2 linked regions of the Callithrix jacchus genome follow. The protein of the gene in region 1 binds, or shares a complex with, the protein of each later gene. Links are inferred from orthologs where the notes say so. Each region holds a gene or a part of one and is shown on either strand. Other genes may lie near its edges.

Region 1 (4,066 bases):
CTGGGCAGACAGGCCTGCTTCCTCTCTGGTTCAATACAGCAGTGAGTTGCCAGATGTGGGAACCCTCAGCCAGCTCATCCTACCTGCTGTTAGAACCCTGGTAACCATACTTCATGGGCTAGGGGGCCACATATGGGGATGTAACATGCTTTAAACGTTTCCTATTTCCCATTTATATATTTTTAAATTCTTTTAGGTGTCAGAGATCAATCACCTACATCCAGAATATGTCAAAGTAAGTGAGTATTTTAAAGCTTCCATGAAAAATTTCAAGATTGAAAAGATAAAGAAGATCCAGAACCCAGAGCTCCTGGATTGTTTTACACGGTTGGTGGCCACGTTATTATGTTTCTTTACATAAAACTGGAAAGGATTAGTTAATATCCATCCTTTAAGATTTATATTCACTGATTTATTTTAGTAGTCAACAGTTCCTTCAGGCTCTAGTTGTTTTTTTCATTGTATCAACTCTGGCTTCTCTCTTTCAGCCTCACTGATTTCATGTGTCTGTCTTTTAAAAGTTTTCATAAGTTTATTATTGTACAGCTTCTGCCTTATGTTAGTAGCTCCATTGTGAAAGCTGATGGGATGAAATTTTCAGATGATTAGACTTTAGCTGGGATTCATGTTATGAACTGGAGTGAGAAGGGGATGTCTCGGTGTTAACTCTCACATTTCTTAAATTAGGAAGAAGTTGCAGATGAAGGTAGAAGAAAACCTCCTATTTTATGCGACAAAACGTGCCTATGTGGACTCTATCTGTGCGAATAATTTTGACTGGACCCTACATGAAACTCATGCAACCACATATGGAAAAGGTTTGTGCCGGGATAGAAAAGTGTAACTGGTAGAGTTATAACTTGGGCTTTATATGCGCTTCTATGAGGAGGTATATGTAATTATTTTGTATTAACCAGAGTGTCCAGGCTTTAGTGGTCATGGAGAGAAAATAAGCTTGTGGTAATCTCAAATGCTCAAATGAGAGTGGCTCCATTGACTTGGAGCATGAGTGCTGGAACTTAGTCTCACTCCTGCCTTCTGTTTTCATTCTGGGAGTGACCAAAGTCCTTGTACATGCTCGTCAGTTACTCCATCTGTTGGCCTTGTTGTCTCCCATCACTACTCACTTCTGGCCGTGCTCTTCCTGAACACATGTCCATGCCTCTGAAGCTATTTGAAGCTTCAATTGTCACAAAGTGATTTTAATTAAAGACGAGGAGAAGAGGATTCTCCCCATCTCAGGCCACACTGGGTTACCTGGACCTGTAGTGTCATAGGTCTGCCCCACACACAAAATCTTTATAGCTCTTTCTTTTTACTCCTAAACTCTTGCCTGCAATTTTTTTTTTTTTTGAGACAGTGTCTTACTTTGTCACCCAGGTTGGGTGACAATCTCAGCTCACTGCAGCTTCCACCTCCTGGGCTCAAGTGATCCTCCCACCTCAGTCCCCCAAACAGCTGGGACAGCAGGTGTGTGCCACCACATCCAGCTAATTTTTTTTTTTTTTTGTATTTTTGTAAAGACAGGGTTTCACCATGTTGCCAAGGCTGGTCTCATCTCCTGAGCTCAAGCAATCCACCTACCTCACCTCCCAAAGTGCTGGGATTCCAGGCATGAGCCACCACTCCTGCATGCATGCAACTGTTAAAACCAAACAAACCTAAAAATTACTTATCTTTAGGAAATAAGTAATAGGTTATCACAGATTCAAAGTGAGTTCAACTCATACAACTAGGATTAAATTCAATTCTTGCCCCAAAAGTCAAGAAGTCAGTCAGCAAATATTTTTGTGTCTTCTGTACACTAGATGTGGGGTACACAGTGGTGAACAAGTTAGACATTGCCCCATAGAAATTATTTTGCATAATTATCTTACATAATTAATTAAATGATTATGGCCAGGCATGGCAGCTTACACCTATAATTCCAGTACTTTGAGAGGCTGAGGTGGGAGGATCACTTGAGCCCAGGAGTTGGAGACCAGCTTAGGCAACATGGTGAGACCCTGTCTAATTTTTTGTTTTAATGACAAAAAAAATTTTTTTTGTAATTAAATTACCTGGGCATGGTGGCACATGCCTGTAGTCCCAGCTACTCAGGGGGCTCAGGTGGGAGGATTGCTAGAGGAGGATTGCAGAGGTTTGAGGCTGCAGTGATCCCTGATTGTGCCACTGCACTCCAGCCTAAGCAATATAGCAAGACTTTGTTTCAAAAAAAAAAAAAAAAAATTAAATGATTGCAAATGTCAGACTACTATAGAGGAAAAGAACAGGTCCAGGCTGGGCACAGTGGCTCACACCTGTAATCCTGCCCTTTGGGAGGCTGAGGCAGGTAGATCACTTGAGGTCAGGAGGTCAAGACCAGCCTGGCCAACATGGTGAAACCCCATCTGTACTAAAAATATAAAAAATTAGCCAGGCGTGGGGGCTGCTGCCTGTAATCCCAGCTATTCGGGAGTCTGAGGCAGGAGAATCGCTTGAACCCAGGAGCAGAGGTTGCAGTGAGCTGAGCTCGCACCACTGCACTCCAGCTTGGTCAACAGAGAGAGATTCTGTAGCAAAAAAAGAAAAAAGAGTCCAGACCAAAAATTAGGGTGGCTTTGACCCAGGTGGTGGAGGAGAAAGGAGGAAAAGGATATTGCAGTTCAAGGGATCTATTCCCTAAGAGGCATATGTGCAACAAGACAGAGTCCAGGTCTTAGGAGAGTGGGCTACAAGGTTGAGTCTTCAGGTTGGATCATTTAAGAAAATACAGGCTGGGCACGGTGGCTCACGCCTGTAATCCCAGTGCTTTGGGAGGCCAAGGTGGGTGGATTGCTTGAGGCCAGGAGTTCAAGACCATCCTGGCCAACATGGAGAAGCCCTGTCTCTACTAAAATTACAAAAATTAGCCATGTGTGTAGGCACATGCCTATAGTCCCAGCTACTCGGGAGGCTGAGGCGTGAGAATTGCTTGAACCTGAGAGGGGGAGGCTACAGTGAGCTGAGATCCTGTCACTGCGCTCCAGCCTCAGTGATAGAGCAAGACTCTGTCTCAAAAAAGAAAAAAAGAAAGCACTCAGAAATGTAGGAGTAGAAATTAACTTTCTTAACACAATAAAGGGAATTTTAAAAAAGAAAATATAGATTCCAGATTATATAAGTGTGATATAAAAACAACTGATGCTTGGCAACAAAAACAAAAATGGACAAATGAGATTGCGTCAAAGTAAAACGCTTCTCCACAACAAAGGAAACAACGAACAACGTGAGCGGACAAACCCACAGAGTGGAGAAAACATTTGCAAGCCATACATCTGATAAGGAGTTAATATCCAAAATATATAAGGAACTCAAACAATTCAACAGCAAGAGAACAAATAACCTGATTTAAAAATGAGCAAGCTGTTCCCATAAGTGGCCTGAGGTGATCTGTGGAAATGGTTTGCTATTCACTTGACCCAGAAATCTACACGAAATCATGCAAATAAAGAAGTTCAAATCTTCATGCTCACTTTAAGAATACCCATGAAACTGCCCAGGCCATCAAGGGTATGCATATATGAAAAGCCAGCAAGTGTCTGAAAGCTGTCACTGTATAGAAACAATGTGTACCATTCCAACGTTATGAGGATGGAGTTGGTAGGAGTGTCTAGGCCATACAGAAGGGCTGGGCACATGTTTGGTGACAAAGAGTTGAATTTTTGCTGTACACACTTAAAAATGCAGAGTGTAATGCTGAACTTAAGAGTTGAGCTGTAGATTCTCTGGTCATTGAGCATATTCAGGTGAACAAAGCACCCAAGACGTGCCACCAGACTCACAGAGCTCATGGTTGGATTAACTCCTGCGTGAGCTCCCCCTGCCACGCAGAGACGGTCTTCACTGAAAAAGAACACAGTGTCCTAATCCACAAGAGGAGGTACCCAGAAGAGAAAGATATCCCAGAAGAAACTGAAGAAGCAAAAACTTACGGCACAGGAATCAATTTAGCGTAAAATACATGCAAGTAGGAGTTTCAAAAATGGGCAAAAGACCTGAAGAGACATTTCTCAAAAGAAATACAAATGGCCAATGAGTTCCTGAA
Region 2 (4,066 bases), on another chromosome or scaffold:
TCAAACCACTGCAAAATTAAGCTGGCCAAAACTGAGGTCAGACTTCCACCCAAGCCTCCGGGCCTGCCAAGAGAGGGCCAGGGTGAAGCTGTCTGCAAGGAGTCTAGATTGATTACCTGGCTGGCTTCTTCAGAAATTCATCCAGGGTGGGGCCGTTTCGCCCCAGTGGGTCATCGGGTACCATGAAGAGGTTTCCCACAAAGGTAAAGGGCAGCAGGCTGGACGGTGAAAGAGAATATATGGTCATAGAGGGGGCTCTTGCCCACCTCCCAGACAACTGAAACCAGTATCACCAGAAACTGCTGGCTCCATCCTTCAAGAAAACTTCACCTCCTTCCCAGAGTTTTCACCCTGTGGCCAGAGCAGAACTAGCTTTAGAAAAAGGTCTGCATCTGTGTCCAATTCTCACCGTTCTCTGATGATTGCCATCCAGTTCTCGGACTCCTCTGCCAGATCCCGGAACTGATCATTGGAGACAATTATCCCATCTCTCTCTTCAGCCAGCCTCACCATGAACCTGTCTCCAAAACCACAGCAACTGAGAGAAGGTTGAAAATTTACCTATTGGGTACAATGTTCACTCTTGGGATAACAGTTACATTAAAAGCCCAGACTTCACCACTATGCATGTAGCAAAACTGTACTTGTATGCCCCCAAATATATAAAAATAAAAACAACCACAGCAACCCTTTGGGACACTCCAAGGCCCCAACCTCAAAAGTGTTACTAATTCCCATGAGCAACTTCTGGTGATGGAGCTCTGGCCCCATACCCCACCTTAGCCCAGCTACAGGCAACTGACTAGATACAGGTTTCATGGGCTACAGAAGAAACAGATGAATCCAATCTGCTCACCGCAGTCCTTCGCGCAACACTTTGCGTCTCACTAGTAAACAGTAAGATCTAGCTCTGACACTGTCTTCCACCCTACCCAACCAATCCCTCGCAAATCCAACATGTCCTACCTTTCAAAAGCCTTGTGCTCTGCTCCCTTCCTTCCCAGGCCCACCGTAACTACCCTAGTAATTCAGATATTGCAACTGAGATCACGCATAACCTCCTAACAAGGATTCCCCGCCTCTGACCACTCACCACCCTCCAGCCTCCCCTGCCCTGCCCCAAGAAAGCATGCTTATCCCCTACACAAAACTCTTCCACACTCACCCTTTATTTACCAAATAAAGTCCACACACCCAGGCCTGGCAGCTAAGGCCTTCTAGAGCCCAGATCAAATCACTCTTACAGCCTTATCTCCAAATATTCCCTATTGCAGTCTCAACTCCAGCTAAAATCAATCATCAGGTTACACTCTGCTCTTCAAATATGTCTAATGCTGACTTCCGGGTTTCTCCAACTATTCCCATCTGAAAGGCACTTCCAAAAACTGGCTGAGGAACAGAATCACCAGGGGAACTTTAAAAAACAGATGGGATGGACGCGGTGGCTCACGCCTGTAATCCTAGCACTTTGGGAGGCCAAGGAGGGCAGATCACGAGGTCAAGAGATTAAGACCATCCTGGCCAACATGGTGAAACGCCGTCTCTACTAAAAATACAAAAAAATTAGCCAGGTGTGGTGGTGCATGCCTGTAGTCCCAGCTACTCAGGAGGCTGAGGCAGGAGAATTGCTTGAACCCAGGAGGCAGAGACTGCAGTGAGCCGAGATCGTGCCATTGCACTTCAGCCTGGGTGACAAGACTCTGTCTCAAAAAAAAAAAAAAATAGATGCGGGCCCCACTTCAGTAATTCTGATTCTACAAGACAAGGTAGGACTCATGAGGTGGTGGGTGGTGTTCTTAACAGATTTAGAAACCAAGAGATCCAGCCCATCCCACAGTCTTCTCAATCAATACAAAAACTTACAAATCTCTCCTTTCCCACAAAACCCCAGCCAGAAGGGGGCTCCCTTCTCTCTGAGTTCCTGTAGTGTTTGATTTATAGTTTCTTACGGCTCTCTAAAGTCACTAATCAGATCTTGTTCCCAGTGTTCCCACCTCCTGCAGGCTATGCACTAGTACTAAGTGAGCAGTTAGTATTTGAAAGACAGCATGGTATAGGGGGAACTGGGAATCAGGATCAGGTGTGACAGATATCAGGCTCTGAGCTTCTGTCTGGGAAACAAATTAAGGAAATGACTTACAAATGTATATGGTACACTTATGGCATGCAAACGGTATTTTCTGGTTAAATATATTTTACTATGATCTCATTACAAAGTATGTTGTTCAGCAACATTTATTCACTATGCCTACGATGTGCACCACTGTGCTTATTCACTGTTGATGGGCGAATTCCCAATTTATATTATGTTATCTGCCCACCAGGTCCCACGCAACTGGGCAGACACATGCCTTTAACATTCATTAAAATGAACTCAATCTTCAGTTTCAATTCTGTTTCAATGCAGGTGTGGAAAGAAGGTTCCATATCTTGGGTAATCTGTGACATCTATACATAAGTAGAATAACATTGGGAGAAAGTAAACCATTTTGTAGAATTCCATTTACTTGTTAAGGAATACAAGGTACATGTTTGAAAAGACAAAGTATATAATCACTATGGTTTGGAAACTAATTTTTAAAATCTGAATAATGTCCTAGAGAATAAAAAACTTGTAAATATGTTAACTTGGTTAATTGGCTTTCTAAAATCTGTTCATTTCTCACATTACCTATGTAGACTATGGTAGAAGTGTGTCTTGTATTTTCATTCATATCATCTGACAGTTTTGAGGTCTAATTTCCCTTTGCTAAGAGAGGTAACCACTCTGACCCTCTGTCTCCATGACTATAGATTGGAGATACACCCGCTGCCACACTTGAGTACGTATGTGCTAAGTTAGGAGGGAATGTCACTGTAGTCTTGCTGAGCACACCTTGAGCAAGGCAGACACACACCTTATCTTTTTCATATATTCACAAGGAGGGTACATGAATGGAGGAGGACCCTGAGACAAAGAGGTTAATAATTCACTAAGACATGGGTCCACAGTCAAAGTCTATGAGGAGTGCTACTGAGGCTCAAATTTAGCTCTTCCAATTCTAAATCCAGTGATATTTCTATTATACCATGTTTTGTACAGTCCTATTATTCATGGGTTGTGTTTCTTCATTTTATTTGTTATTTTGACCTTTACTGTGTTTTTTCCAGAATGTTAAGGAAGTTTCTCTGCATGTTGAGAAATTCAGAAAGATGACATCTGTCAGCTATTTATGTCACGAGCTTCCCCATCTTTCCACTAAACCAGTATTTTCTAGACAGTGAAGCACTATATAAATGAGGTATCACTTTATTTGATGAATGATAAATGAGCAAACATGGTTGTCTACAGTTCTTCTCATCACAGCTGCTGGGCAGGTTTACCTAACCAATAATAAGGGACACAGAGGAATAACTAGCCCCTTACTCACTACCAAAGCTTGGAAACAGCATAAACCACCAGGAGCTTTTCCCTCTCCCTCAATCTTCAACTAGGCTCCTTGAATATCAAGCCTGGGGCCAGGAGAGGAGCAAGTACCTGTCATCATAGGAGGAGATCCTCTTGCCATCCATGACTCGTGAGGGTGTGAGGGAGAGCAGGCTGAGGGAATGCAGCTTTTGCAGGAAGTGACTCTCTATTAAAAAAGAACAAAATAGGGTTCTCCTCCAGGTAGAAATAGAGCCTACCCCAGGACACAGAAGACCAGGCCCAACTCACCTCTAACTTTGGCATCCTTACTGAAGCGCCACTGAGGCACGAAGACGGTTATGTCACGGTGGCCACGGTCCCAGAAGTACTGCACAGCAATGGCAATGCCCCGGCTGGAGAAGTAGTGCTGGAGGCCATGCCTGCAGTGGGAAGGGGTCGGCCAGAGGAGGGGCTTGACACCCTGGTTACAATGCCAGCCCCTCAGTACACATCCCCAAGGTGGACAAAAATGCCTATCTCATCCTCCCTCCCCTAGGCCCTTAGCCCCACCAGGTACTCACACCATGGCCACGTTGCTGCCGTCAATGACAATATGGCGGAGGTCTGGCTGGCCAGGCACATTGGCAAGGCACAGGGTGAAAGGGTCCTGCAGGGCCT

The links.
Region 2: the proteins of ZC3HAV1 (region 1) and KHNYN are in contact, whole or in part, in a crystal structure (PDB 9BGL), measured with the Homo sapiens proteins. The link is inferred for Callithrix jacchus from reciprocal best matches to the Homo sapiens genes ZC3HAV1 and KHNYN. Residues at the interface, in NP_064504.2 of Homo sapiens: Glu5, Val6, Cys8, Phe9, Lys12, Ile13, Ala16, His17, Glu29, Ile30, Ala31, Leu32, Leu113, Glu115, Phe118, Ser127, Gly128, Leu129, Asn130, Glu133; in NP_001277186.1 of Homo sapiens: His651, Lys652, Asp654, Phe655, Gln658, Arg659, Pro661, Tyr662, Asn677, Phe678.

Annotation. Positions count from the first base shown.
Region 1 is NC_133512.1:108,281,801-108,285,866, forward strand, and holds part of ZC3HAV1 (zinc finger CCCH-type antiviral protein 1), read left to right. Parts: intron 1-196; coding exon 197-327; intron 328-687; coding exon 688-818; intron 819-4,066.
Region 2 is NC_133509.1:58,730,069-58,734,134, reverse strand, and holds part of KHNYN (protein KHNYN), read right to left. Parts: coding exon 3,970-4,066; intron 3,829-3,969; coding exon 3,698-3,828; intron 3,615-3,697; coding exon 3,518-3,614; intron 2,449-3,517; coding exon of another isoform or gene 2,388-2,448; exon of another isoform or gene 1,578-2,387; intron 539-1,577; coding exon 410-538; intron 219-409; coding exon 117-218; intron 1-116.